2 linked regions of the Stegostoma tigrinum genome follow. The protein of the gene in region 2 interacts with the protein of the main gene of each other region in a biochemical or structural test. Links are inferred from orthologs where the notes say so. Each region holds a gene or a part of one and is shown on either strand. Other genes may lie near its edges. The genes, in order: zmynd11 and ets2.

The links.
Region 1: the proteins of ets2 (region 2) and zmynd11 form a complex in vitro, tested with the Homo sapiens proteins (2 studies listed by BioGRID). The link is inferred for Stegostoma tigrinum from reciprocal best matches to the Homo sapiens genes ETS2 and ZMYND11.

The regions. Positions count from the first base shown.
Region 1 is NC_081355.1:137,701,816-137,709,011, reverse strand, and holds the start of zmynd11 (zinc finger MYND domain-containing protein 11), read left to right. Parts: upstream 1-4,028; 5' UTR 4,029-4,144; intron 4,145-7,196. UniProt on the Homo sapiens protein: Chromatin reader that specifically recognizes and binds histone H3.3 trimethylated at 'Lys-36' (H3.3K36me3) and regulates RNA polymerase II elongation. Does not bind other histone H3 subtypes (H3.1 or H3.2).
Region 2 is NC_081365.1:18,484,516-18,491,731, reverse strand, and holds the start of ets2 (protein C-ets-2), read right to left. Parts: upstream 3,171-7,216; 5' UTR 2,811-3,170; intron 1-2,810. UniProt on the Homo sapiens protein: Transcription factor activating transcription. Binds specifically the DNA GGAA/T core motif (Ets-binding site or EBS) in gene promoters and stimulates transcription.

The sequences.
Region 1 (7,196 bases), on a different chromosome or scaffold from region 2:
AAATTGCACCCCAAGCCAAAGCTGTTCCAGTGCAATTGCAACACTGGATTCAACCTACTAATGTGGAAAATTGAGATACTGGATCCAACAAACCGATGGGCTCCAGTGGTTCCCATAATTGCTATGCTGAAGAATTGTAATCAAGACCTAGCCAAGACATTTCTGTATAGCTACAGTTGAAAAAGTAAAAACTTGGCTAAGTTTGTACTCCCCAAAAAAATGACCAATCCATTCTGTCCAATTAGTGGCCCTATAGTCATCTCGGAATCTGCGGAGCCTGTCTGCCCACGAGGTACGATTCAGGAGTGTAATGTATTATTCCCACTTGCCTGGATGAGTGCCGCCCCAACACCACTCAAGAAGCTTGATACCATCCACGACAAAGCAACCTGCTTGATTGGCACCACGTCCATAAACATCTACTCCTTCCACCGTGACTCTCAGTAAAAGCAGTGCATATGGTCTACAAGATGCATTGCAGAAATTCACCAAAACTCCTCAAACAGCACCTTCCAAGCCAATGATCAATTCCAATTGCAAACTTTTAGATAATGAAACATTCCCAGTACTTGTCTGACTGTTTCATTCTCTACAATTCATCATCTATTATCATGGACATCCTCCCATTGCAAAGTTGTGTGGAAGACTGCCTAGCCAGAGAGATGAGAAGCCTAAGCCCTCAATAGACCCAACAGAGAGATGTTTTCAGGATCCTCAATGCAAGATATCTGTTTTAACCAAATTGGTGGTATAATGGACAGGGAACGTTATCCAAGATTACAAAGGTACATTGATCAATGGGGCTAAAGGGCTAAGGAGTGGCAGATGGCATTAAATTTGGTTAAATGCAAGGTGTTGCATTTTGGTAAAACAAATAAAGGCAGGACATACACAATAAATGGTAGAGCCCTGGATAATGTTGTCAAACATTGAGACCTACGGGGTTCAGGTAAGAAGTTCTTCAAAAGTTGTGTCACAGGTTGAAGGCAATTAGCATGCTTGCCTTCATTGCTCAGACCATTTAGTTAAAGGAGTCAGGGCATCATGCTGCAGTTGTACAGGACATTGGTGAGGCCACTTTAGGCGTACTGTGCATAGTTCTGGTTGCCCTGCTATAGGAAGGATTTTATTAAATTGGTGAGGGTTCGGAAAAGACTTACTAAGATGTTGCTGGGACTAGAGGGTTTGAGTTATAAAGAGAGACTGGATAGGCTGGGACTTCTTTCAGTGGAGTGCAGGAGGTTGAGGGATGACTCTATAAAGGTTTATAAAATCATGAGGAGCATAGATGAGGTGAATCCCAAAGGTCTTTTCCTTCAGATAGTAGAGTTCAAAGCAAGAGGGCGTATTTATTTAAGGGGAGAGGAGAGATTTGAGATGGACTTGAGGTACAACTTTTTCACACAGAGTATGGCTAGTATGAGGAATGATCTGCCAGAGGAAATAGTAGTTGTAGTTTCAGCTATAACATTTAAAAGACATTTGGACAGGTATATGAATAGAAAAGGTTTCAAGGGATATGGACCAAATGCAAGCGAGACGAGTTTAGTTTAGGAAATTTCATTGCTTGATGAGTTGGATCGAGGGTCTGTTTTTGTGCTGTATGACTCCAAAATATTTACATCTGGACTTGGAAACTACACCTGCTCTGACTCATCATAGCTCCAACAACTATCATCTAGGTTCTACTGCAGACCTGCCATAAAAAGAGATAATAGGAACTGCAGATGTTGGAGAATCTGAGATAACAAGGTGTGGAGCTGAATGAACACAGCAGGCCAAGCAGCCTGCTTCGAAGGTGCTGCTTGGCCTGCTGTGTTCAGCCAGCTCCACACCTTGCCATAAAAAAGGCCCTGATGGGATTAATAGCAATATGCAAATATTTAGATAGTATTTTGCTGGAATAGTGACACTGTCACTGAAGTTATAATTGCAGCATAATTCTCTAGAGATAGGGAGGTGAAAATAAGAGCGAGAGAAGGACAGTGAAGAGGAGGAGGAGAAGAAGGTGGTGTAATGAGCAAAAAGAGGGATCAGTCTGTTCAGTGATAGAGAGGGAACAATATGTTTACTGATGGAGAATGTTCAGTGTCATCAAGATGGACCGGGATCACTGTTTCTGGTGCTGGAGAGGTATCAGTGCATTTGGTGGTGGACAGTGATCAGTACATTTCGAAATCGAGCGTGATCAATGTGTGTGGTGGTGGAGAGGCATCAGTGCATTTGGTGATGGAGATGGATCATTATGTTTAGTAATGCAGAGGGATCAAAAGGGTACAGGGTAGTGGAGAATGAGGGAGGAGACGTGAAGGTGATGCTGGAGGATGAAGACTAGAGAGGGTGAAGGGTGGTTGATGGTGGAGATGAAGAAGAAAGAGAGAGGGTATTGATGGAGATATTTGAGGAGGTGAGCGGTGGTAGAGGAGGTTGAGGAGCAGAGAGGGTGATGATGGTGGAGACAGTGATGATGGTGAGGGAGGAGAGAGGGTCCTTGTGCCAGTGGAGGAGGAGGAGAGAGGGTAGTGTTGTAAGAAAAAGAATAAAGCATATAGTAGGAGCAGAGATGGTGGAGGAAGAGGAAGTGGGAGGGCGATGGTGACGGAGGAAGAAGAGAGAGGGTGCTGGTGAAGAGGAAACAACCTGATGGTAGAGGGGTCAAGGAAGTGACAGGGTGATGGTGGAGGAGGTTGAATGGAGAGTGGTGATGCTAGAGGGGGAGAAGGAGAGACAGAGTGATGGTGGAAGAGGTCAACGAGTGGAGAGGGTGATTGTGGAGGGAGGAGAGAGGGAGATGGTAGTGGAGGAGGAGGAGAGAGGGTGATGTGGTTGGGGGAATTAGAATTATAATAGGTTCATTGTCAAGTGTGATCAAGTACAGGAGCACAGTGAAATGTTTACAGTGTTGCCCCACATGGTGCCATCTTAGGTACTAAGTATCTGGGTGCAAATCTTAGGTACAAAATAGAGAGAGACATAAGAAGGTTACATTACCATACATTAAATCATAGTATAAGTTAGAAAAATAAGGACCAACACTAAAAAGATAAGCTGAAGTTTTTCTATAAAAGGCCTGCAGTAGATCAATGCAGGGAACTTCCACCTGTGACCTGACTGGTCTCACAAGCCGGCGATCACCCACGCTGGTTCCCCAGTCAAACATCTGTCCTTGATCTGGGCACATTGGTTGAGGAGGGGGATGAGCAGGGGAAGATTGTAGTGGTGGTGGTGGAGGAGAGAGGGTGATGTAGAGGGGTTTGAGGAGGAAAGGGTGATGGTGGAGGGTGAGGGGAGAGGGTAATGTGGAGAGGAGGAGGATGAGAGTGTGTGTTGTAGAGGGAGAGGAGAGTGTGAGATGAGGGTGGTAATGGAGGAGGAGAGAGTGGTGTGGAGGAAGAGAGTCAGGGGCTGCTTCTGGTCATGGTGGAGGATGAGAGTGAGGGATGAGCATGACAGTGGAGGAGGAGAGTGAAGGATGAGGGTGGCAGTGAAGGAGGAGAGTGAGGGATGAGGGCGGCAGTGAAGGAGGAGAGTGAGGGGATGGTGCTGGAGGTGGAGGAGGAGAGTGAGGGTGACAGTGGAGAAGAAGAGTGTGGGGTTGGTGCTAGAGGTGGAGGAGGAGAGTGAGGGATGAGGGTGAAAGTGGAGGAGGTGAGTGAATGGCAGGTGCTGGATGAGGAGAGTGAAGGATGAGGGGTGACAATGGAGGAGGAGAGTGAGGGATGAGGGTTAAAGTGGAGGAGGAGAGTGAGGGATAATGGTGAAAGTGGAGGAGGAGTGAGTGGCAGGTGCTGGAGGAGGAGAGTGAGGGATGAGTGTTGACAGTAGAGGAGGAGAGTGAGGGGTTGGTGCTGGAAGTGGAGGAGGAGAGTGAGGTTAGACATGGACAGGAGAAGCACAGTGAGGGATGAGGGTGTTGGGCGGAGGTTTGCCTGCTGCTATTCCGAGCTCTGCCGCTGAGGGGCGTGCGCGGACGGAGGGGCCCCTGTTGTTGATGTGGAGCCGAGTCCGAGGGGGAAGCGAGCGGAGCCCGATACTGACAGGCCCCGCCAGCACCGGGCACAGGGGCCGCGGGAGGAAAGGAACTCCACAGCGGCTCAGCTGCCGGGCGGATCGTCCGGAGATAACCGACCGGGAAGTGGCAGAGGTGAGCAGAACCGGGGTCCAGGATGGAGGGGGGACTCGGAGCCGGGGAGCTCGCTGTATGTGTTGGCGGGTGGGAAACCGGGAACATGGCGGCCCGTCTGCGCCCGGCTGTAGGGGAGGGTGGCCTCGCCTTTCGAGGAGTGAGGAGTTTGGCGGGGGGTGGGTTTACTCCCAAAGCCGGGGAGAGGCTGCAGGCGGTAGCTAGGCCGAGCCGGCCTTCCCCAGTGTGTCTCTGTCTTTGTTTTATTTATTTCACTTCAGACCCTGTGGCCGGGGTTTAATGTTCTCCTCCTCTTGCCGCTGCCGGACACACTTTTCTGTTCGAAGCCCGACTTGTCGGGAGACCAGTGTTTTTTTTATTGTTAGGGAAGATTGTCTCTCCACATCCCCCCCCACCCCCTCCTTCACCTTTTTAAAGGTGGCGATGGGTGGGAAAAGTCAGAAGAAAACCAGACCCCAGGGAACTATGACCATTAATAGGGTTTACGAACACTCTCTCTGGGCTCTGATGGATGGTTGCTCCTTGAACGTTAACCATCATAGTTTCGTAGAGCTGGCCCACCTTTAAATCAACAGTTTAGCCCTGGTGTCTGTATTCATTTGCACAGTCTGTGTGGCAAACGTTGTATTTCAAATTGACTGTTAACTTGTAACACCTTTTCTCACTTCAGTTTTTCCTAATGACTTGGAATGACTGGGGTGGCAATTGTGAAAGCCAGGGGGTCAGTCATTTTCTCTGTGGTCTTGTTTCTTTTTTTTGAGAAAAATCAATGGCCGACGTTGCACTTTTGATAAAGGCAAGTACACTTTAGGTTTTGTAAACGACTGGGAATTTTACAGCAGGCAGTTGATACGTACATATGTGTTTGAAAATCTGTAATGCTTTACATGTGTGACACATGCAGTGGTATTAAATAGTCTGTCAAGCGTGCATAGTATTCCAGAATTAAAATATAGCCTTTGGTTTCTGCTGTGCATTATGGCCTCATAAATTAAAAGGAATGTATCTTGCCTGTAGTTTGGAAGTCTAAGCTACTGTTTTACTTGTTGCTGGTATCTGATCCTGACTTGCATTGGCTTTTAAATCATACTTGTATATAGCAGTTGGTTGTCCCATAATTCTTTTATCTATCTTTACCCCCTCCTGTTTCTCATCTGCATGGTGCTGCTTTGCAGCATCGTCTATCAGGTTTCAAATGTACGTAGGCAGCACCCACCCCTTTCTCCCATGACTCCCCCATTTCTAGTACTGGCAGACTGTTAGTCTGGAGATGAGCAGCATGTAGTGGTCTTGCCAATGATGCTTACATCCCTTGAAAATATTTTAAGTCTGGGCTGAGTTGCACGTTTTTCTAACCTAACCTTAAAATGATCAATACCAGTTTTTATCCAACTACAAACTCTTTCCTTGTCACTGATTTCCTCCTCTTCCCTGGGTGTTTTCTCGGGCCGAAATATAGAACCTCGGCGACCATCTGATTTGAATCAAAGTTGAATTTGTAACTCCATGTCATGTCGATCCAAAACTGCCCCATTCTCTTTCTGATCCTGCCACGGCTGTTGTTACCCTTGCCTGTGCTTTAGTTACCTTCTGTTCTTGGCTTAGCCTACCCTCTTTTGTTTTCTAAAAGATTAAGCTCTCACACTCTATATTCTAGCCTGCAATACGTTCCATTTAATCAAGTAAGTTCTCTGTTTGTTGACCTATATTAGCTCCTAGTTCAGTAACTCCTCAATTTTAAAATTCTCATTCTCTTGTGAAATCCCTTCGGGAAGTAAAACCACCCCGACTTGATTGCAATCCTTCAGAAGCTCGGATTCCTCCAGTTCAGGATTCTGATACATATCCCACTGCTAGTGTGGCTTAACGGCTTGGTCTTCAGCTCTGAAAGTTCTTCCCCAAACCACCCTTCTTTCATCAAGGTTCCCTTTAACCTATCTTTCTAATCAACCTGCTGCTGTTGTTACACACCTCTGGAGCAGTTTAGACTTGAACCCAGGTTTCTTGCTTCAGGGGTAGGGGCACTACTGCTGTGGTGCGAGAGGGCTGCTTCCTGTGTTTTTTAAGTTTAGTCACCTGACCTGTTATCACCTCCTTTGGCGTGGTGTCAATTTTTGTCTGACTGCACTCCTGTGAAGCACTTGGGTTGTTTTCCTGTGTTAAGGGTGTTAGTTAAACAAAAGAAGTTGTTATTATGGATGAGTTTTGCACTCGCCCATTGCCTGACTTGAGTAAAGTATAATCCATTCATATTGAAATTAATAGTGTAATCTCCATCTGTCTCAAGTAGTGGCATTGTATTGACACCAAGTTATTTTATATGCAAGCAAGAGCTGCATACCAAGTGCCCCTGCTTTACCCATCTCACATGAAGTATTGTTGTCAGCCATTCTTGTGAGAGAATTGAGCAGATTCATCCATGCAAATGCACATAGATAAGCCTTTCATGAGAGGTGACCCTGCTGAGAGCATAGAGCGTAAAACAGGTGGTGCCACAAATCCATCATCTTGCATTGAATGTATGTTCACCTGAATTCAACACTTCGTAACCGCGTTCAGAATCATAGTCTTACAGTATAGATTTCTCCATTTCTAGTTATGATTGAGTTTGCTTCCTTGACTTTGCCATCAATATTGATAAGTGCACATATTTTAAAAATTCAGAAGATAATTCCTTATTTTAGCCATCTATTTTACGTGCTTAGGAATTGCAGGATGGGTAAAGATCAAGTCTTATCTAGTTCAGTTACTGTCATCTTCCTATTTGCAGGATAGAACAATTACTGACTGACCGCAGAGTAATCAGTCTTCCTTTCAAGTAGTCTTTGACTGGCCCCAACAAGGAAAACCCCAGTGCTGGAGAGCATTAAGAAATCATAACCTATTCCTCTCAGGCATGGTAGACATTTTGCATTCAACGTGTTCAGGGATGTTATTAAACACTCCTAAAGCAGATGGGAGTTGACCCTGGGTCTTCTGGTATAGTGGTAACGGCACTACCCCTGTGTCTCAAGAGTCTTCCTCTCGAGTATGTTACAGTTACCAAATACCA
Region 2 (7,216 bases):
ACCGTCAGCTTTTGTGCTCCTGAGAGCTGCTTGGCCTGCTGTGTTCATCCAGCTCCACAATGTGTTCTCTTCCAAATATCCATTATTTTACTTATAATTCTCAGCACAGAAACATGCTGTTGTTATTTGGCCGAAGTACTTCATGTTAGCGTTTGTGTTCCACTGGAACATCTTCCACATTTATTTCATCTTTCAATTCACTGCTTCGCTTCAGTGCCTCTCCTCCTCTCAGCAGAAGTATTTTACGGTAATCAGCACTTCCTAAAAGCACAGTCATATAAAGGTGCATGCAGGCATTACACAACTGTTATGTGGAGGGCAGGAGTGGTCACCTCACTGTTATACATGTAACAGGATTTTACTGATTACTTTAGTTGACTGAAGCAAACATGAAAGATGCCAAATACTAAACCAGCCATCCTTTGAGAATGCATGCTTGGGGGAAGACAAACTGACATATTGTACATTTATGCTTTTAATGTTTAATTAAAAATTGGAAGGAAATATCAAGATTTCAGATCTGACATTTAACGTGTAATCTGTATTAAGGATGTACCCCATTAATTTTTAGATCTGTGGTATAAGCAATATAAAGTGATACCACCTTATCTCACCAGCCCTGCTCTTCAGACTCCATAATCAGCTTTTGAAGTGAATACATTATCTGATAACAAGTATGGCTGAGGTTAATCATGTTACTAATTAGATTTATATGGCTCCTACTCCACTGGCCAAAGTATCGCAAGCTCATTGCCAGTGACAAATTTAATAGATATGCCCACAATTCAAGCACCCGGTCAAGGTAACCTCTGTCAAACAATCACTCTGATTAATACCTAGTATAGCAGATTGTAGATGGAGGGAGGGTGCAAAAGTTTCTTAATTACTTATAAAGTCTACTTCTTTGATGACTTCAGAAGAAGGTTTCACAGCTTTACTCTTTAACAAACTTTACAGGACCCAGCACCCTTGACTCCTTTGATGGATTTATCAGATTAAAGTTTACAAAACAAAATAAACCTTCAAAAAAGATGTAAAATCAATCAAAAAAATTAGCTGCTGCATTAGTGACACTGGGGCATTTAATTCTCCAGCTAGGGCAAGCGTAGCACCTAACTGGTTTAAGTAATCCTTTCTTCTTGACTCAGCAAAGTGCTCATGGCTTAAAATAGACCTTTTTAAAAAATGGTAACATAGTACACAGAAAAATTGAAAACTTATTTTTTAGACCTGTTGTGACTCTGGATTTTGGGCAAGGTACTAAGGCAGCAACTGCTGTGTTCATCCAGCTCCACACTTTGTTATCTCAGATTCTCCAGCATCTGCAGTTTCCATTATCTCTAATACAGCAACAATCTTGTTGTAGCTGAGTGGTACTGCAGTGTCTTTGCCTTTCAAAGCAAAAGATTTACGACTCAGAGACCTGAGCTCATAACCTAGCCTTACGCTTCACTGCAACAAAACAAGTACTATGGTGTTGGAGATGCAATCTTTCAGCTGAGATACTAAAGTGCTCTCTCGGGTAAATGTAAAATTCTTATGGAACTATTTTTAAAAAAAGGGTGATCAGAGATAATGGGAACTGCAGATGCTGGAGAATCCAAGATAACAAAGCGTGAATCTGGATGAACACAGCAGGCCAAGCAGCATCTCAGGAGCACAAAAAAAAGGGTACCTCATTTGCCTTGGTTTACATGCACCTTTCAGCCATCACTGATTTAATTGTTTGTAGATGCCCATTACTTTAAATTCTCTTCAAAAAGTGCTTTGAGTATGTCCAAAGTACTTAAGAGAGTAAAGTACCTGGGGCACCCTGGGATGCTGAAGGAGGTTGTAAAAATGCAAATTAATTCTTTTGTTCACTTCACTTTTGCAATCCCTGCAAAACCTTTTCACAGGTCATCTAATTTAAGATGCAGACATTTTTCCTGTTGTCACACCTACTGATACTGATAACAAGTGTATAGATCAACCCACATATTACACAAAGACCATAAAGTCTCAAAACGATGTTACTTTGATCTCAGTTTAGATGTATTTTTATATAAATAAATAGAAATGAGGGAATTATAGGTTTGTCTTGTTGGTAGCACCCACTGCAAAGGTTGCAGGCAGTGGCATTTTCCGTGAAACAATGTGCAGTATTATAGCAAACTACAGGTCCACTCATCCAAAATCCACACATAAGCTCTGGACCTGAAAAGTTAACTGTGGCTTCTCTCCACAAATGCTGTCAGACCTGCTGAGCTTTTCCATTGATTTCCATCCTGAAGACATTGCTCACATTCCTGTCGCTTGAAACTTTCCACATTATTCTCCAACTCAACGGAATCGCTTTCTGAGCGGGAGGTTCAAAACCACACCGCTGTAGAGTCAACCCCAGCTGGGGTGGCCTCCTGGGGAAGATGGTACATCTCAGGCCTTGGGTGCCCTCGCAAGTCTTCGCTATTTGCATCTTTCGTCTTCATGCATTCTCAACTTGCTGGTTGTACTGAATGGAGGACAGCATCGTGACTTCTGTGACACCGCAGCAAGGCCCTAGATAACCTGGACTCGACTGTGTTCTATTGTAACAAGCGATGCTTTTAACAGCCGGCAGCACCACATACAAGCAGCACGGGGCTGGGCATATCAAAACTTTGTTTTAGGCCAGAATACAGAAAGACTGTAAAATACTAGTGAACAGGAACAAGCTAACCGTCTCCTTCATGTCAGAGAGAGAAAAGAACAAATCTTTTCACAATATTTGAAGCTTGGTCAGCCCCACAGTCACAGCTGCACAATCTCTAAGACCTAAATTGCGTACTTACAGTATAAATCCCTTCCTGCGTTATGTTTGCGTGTCGCGGGCTCGGGTCAGTTAAAATCCAGCAAAGCCTCACGATCAGTGAGTTCGATCCAATAAAATAGTGATTCACGAAGCGTCGTTTATGGCGGCGGAATTTCACTGTAAAGTTTCCCAGCGCCCCGCTCCTCTGTCCGATACGCCTGAGGTCAGACTCTTGGGCAATCTGCTGAATGAATATTGGGAGCCTCGCCTTTTACATCAATTCCCACAATCTCTCTCAACCCGCCACTTCCTCTTCATTGGACCTGCTCTGGGGGAGAGGAGGAGCCGAGAAGCGAACCATCACCAAACAAGGTTAACTCATCAGGCTGCTTTCCTTTCCTGCTGTCTTCGCAACCACCCCTTCCCCTCTACTCTTCCCCCGCCCCCGGCACAGTCACATGACCATTCACCGTTTTGTATCCAATAATGATAAACAAATTGCCGGCGAAACTGACAGACGTGCAGAGAAAGCGAAGTTATAGCTTTTGAGTCCGGTGACCCTTCGGACAATTGCCAGATGCTGCCGCTTCTCCAGCAATTTTAAATTTGTGTTTCAGATCTCTAGCACTCGCAGTTCTTTGTTTTACTTAAGTGATAAATACTGCTTCCTGTAGGACTGCATCAGCTGTCCGTTTCTAACGCCGCAGACAAATTGACATTTTTTGATAGAATTATAAGCTCTGCACATTTTGATTGACAGTGATATTTAAAATATATCTAATTATGCAACGCAGGACACCTTCCATGCCCAGGAGCCTCAGGAACTGTGGCATAGCAGCCTTTGACCCAGGTTTTGCAATGATGTGGAGGTGCTGGTGTTGGACTGGGATAGACAAGGTCAGAAATACATACAGCACTTCAGCTGTGGCCTAGTGTCTCTTCGATCATAACCTCCCTGCCCAGAGACAACTGGGTTCAGTGAATGAGAGATAATGGGAACTGCAGATGCTGGAGAATCTGAGATAACAAAGTGTGGAGCTGGATGAACACAGCAGGCCAAGCAGCATCTTAGCTCCTAAGATGCTGCTTGGCCTGCTGCGTTCATCCAACTCTACACTTTGTTATCTGGGGTTCAGGGAATTATATACCTCTTCAGTTCGCAGCCTTTCTTTGCAAAACTTGGTCAGAAATTAAATGACACTAGATTATAGTCCAGCAGGTTTATTTGAAATAACAAGCTTTCAGAGCCTTGCTAACACCCAAAGAAGGACCAAGGCTCTGAAAGTTTGTGTTTTCAGATAAACCTTTTGGACTATTACCTGGTGAGGTGCGATTTCTGACCAAGTTCTGCAAAGAAAGGCTGTGGACTGAAGAGGTACATAATTCAGTGAACCCAGTTGTCTCTGGGCAGAGAGGTTATGATGGAAAAGACAGTAGGCCACAGCTGAAGTGCTGTATGTATTTCTGATCCCCACAGTAGGATGGATGTAATTGCACTTGACAGGAGGTTCACCAGGTTATTGCCCAGGCTGGTGCATTTCAGCAGTTAGCAGAGACTTAGATAGGCTGGGGTTGTAATCCTTAGGGCAGATAAAACTGAGAGGGGATCTGACTGAGATGTGCAAAGTATGAGTGGCATAAATGGGAAGAAACTTTCCTTCTTGGGAGAAGTTTAAAGGATATTTAAGGAAGATTTTCACCCAAAGGGCTGAGGGAAACTGTTACTCATTAATACAGGTGGGAATTATTATGACATATCAGAGGGACCACTTGAAGTGTCATAGCATCTAAGGCTATGGGTTAACTGCTGTAAAATGGGCTGGAGTAGATAGGTGCTTGACCAGCACAAATTGGCCAAAGGACCTCTTTCCATGTTGTAAAACTATGACTCTTGGCCAATTGAACTTTCTGTCTTTTCATACAGTCAACTTTGTGAGGCCATGGTCCCCGTCTCCAGTTGACAGAGCCAAAGTCGTATCTCATTAGCAATGAAGGTATGGATGCTCAAAGGGTTATGACCACTGATCAATAAAACATACAGGAGGACTTTTAAGTGTACATCCATCATCCATCGGTGAACATGGCCGAGCCAGTTCAGATATCACTGACTTAGCAATGGTGTCTATGTCTTTGAATTAGCATACCCAAGAACAGCTGGATTGGCAACCATGCCCTGCCAACAGATGGCAAGTATACATCCAAGACGGAAAAGGTGGGAACTGTTCAGCGTTTTCTCCTTTCTATCATATGTTGTCTAGGTCTCAGCACTGTCGAGCAATGTGCTGAGGATACAGGCCTGCTGGGATCACATTGTGGGCTTCTCAATCAGGTTGCAGTTGCTTCACACTCCCTCATTCAGGTCCCTTAACAGCTGTAGCTGTTGTGATGCATGAGCAGTTTTCAGCATGAAGTGACTTCTTGAGTGTTGTTGGAGCTGCATCAACCCAGGCAAATGGAAAATATTCCATCACACTCCTGAACTTTATGTTAGTAAGTAGTGAAAAAACCTTGGGGATACAGAAAGTGATTTAACAACTGCAGACTTGCTAACCTCTGATCTGGCCTTTTAGCCATAGTGTTTATATGACCATTCCACTTCAAATCTCGATCATTCTTCAGGATGTTGACAATGGGACATTCAGCAATTGTTTAGCTATGGAATGTTAAGGAGACATTCTGTGTAGATGGAGATAATCATGGACTGGCACCCATGTGTGCAAATGTCTCTTGCAGTTTATCAACCCAAGCCGTCCAGTTCCTGTTGCTTATGAACATAGACTGCTTCAGTACCTAAGGAGTCACAAATGTGCTGAACATTGTGCAATAATCAGCAAACATTTACACTCCCAATTTTATGCTGGAAACAATGTCATTGAAGAAGCAGCATAAGATAGTTCTGTATAGGACACTACACTGAGACATTCCCCATCGCAGAAGGCAGATGAATGGGGTTGTGAAATATTTCAGCCATGATTGAATGGAGCCAAATCAGTGGGCCAAATGGTCTAATTCTGCTCCTACATCTTATGGTCCTTTGGTCTCTTGCAGTGATATCCTGGAGCTGAGATGACTGACCTTTAACAATCACAACTCCAACCAATGGAGATTTTCCCTCTTCATTTCCATTAACATCATTTTTGCTTTGGCACCTTGAAGCCATTTTCAGTCAAAATTTGCCCCAGTGTGAAATGCGCTCACTCTCATATTACAGCTCTTCTCTTCCAGTTTGGATTGATGCTGTAACTGTATATGCCCTGGTGGAACCTAAACTGAGTGACAGTGAGCAAGATATTGCTGAACAAGAACAAAAACAGTGTTTGCACAGTCTTCAATTCCTTCTATCACTTTCCTGAAGTTTGAGAGCAGTCTGATGGAATATCATTTGGCTGGGTTGGATTTATTTTGCTTTTTGTAGACAAATGTGAGCAATTTTACGTATTGCTGGGTAGACATTATTGTTGTGGCTGTACTGAAATAATTGTTCTGCAGACACAGTACTTCTCTTGAAGCTGGCAGCCTGAGAAGATCACATCATTTGCAGATTTTCCCGTTCTGGAAGGGTCTAGGCCCGAAATGTCAGCTTTTGTGCTCCTGAGATGCTGCTTGGCCTGCTGTGTTCATCCAGCTCCACACTTTATTATCTTGGATTCTCCAGCATCTGCAGTTCCCATTATCACTGATAGGATTTAGAGTAGATGTGTTCAGCCAAGATATTTTGGCAGCCAAAGTCAACAAAGAAAATGATATCCTGGAGCTGAGGTGATTGGCCTCCCACAACCGCTACCATCTTTATTTGAACTTCATCGAATGGATAGTCCAGTTCTGAAGAGGAGTAGTGCTGAACTCAAACCATTGACACTGCTTCTGTCTCCTTAGGTGTTAGCAAACCTCTGCAGTTTCTTGAGTTTCTCTGAGTTTGCTTCAGATTTCCAACAACTACAGTATTTTGCCTTTATATTATTTTTCCCATAATTCCACTTGTTGTTGCAATTGTTCGGGGTCTCAATCTCTGTATTACATATATCCTGGGCACTGCCCCCTCCCTCCAGCAGACACAAAGAAGTTTATGCAACTACCATGGGTGTGCCAATTTCCCATACTTGGTGATTTCAGGCATATAGCATCAGTTTTTCCCATGGGAAGCGAGTCAATAATTTTGCTAAGCTCTTCCCGTGTGCCATGACAAGCAGTCCTTATTTGGTTCAGGAGAGTAGGAACTGCAGATGCAGGAGAATCTGAGATAACAAGGTGTAGAGCTGGATGAACACAGTTGGCCAAGTAACGTCAGAGGAGCAGGAAGAATATGAAATATGAATAAGAATTTCCTTGTTCGTATTCCCCTAGAAATTTCTGAAGAAGGATCTAGGCCCGAAACATCAGTTTTCCTGCTCCTCTCATGCTGCTTGGCCTGCTGTGTTCATCCAGCTCTACACTTTGTTAGGCCTT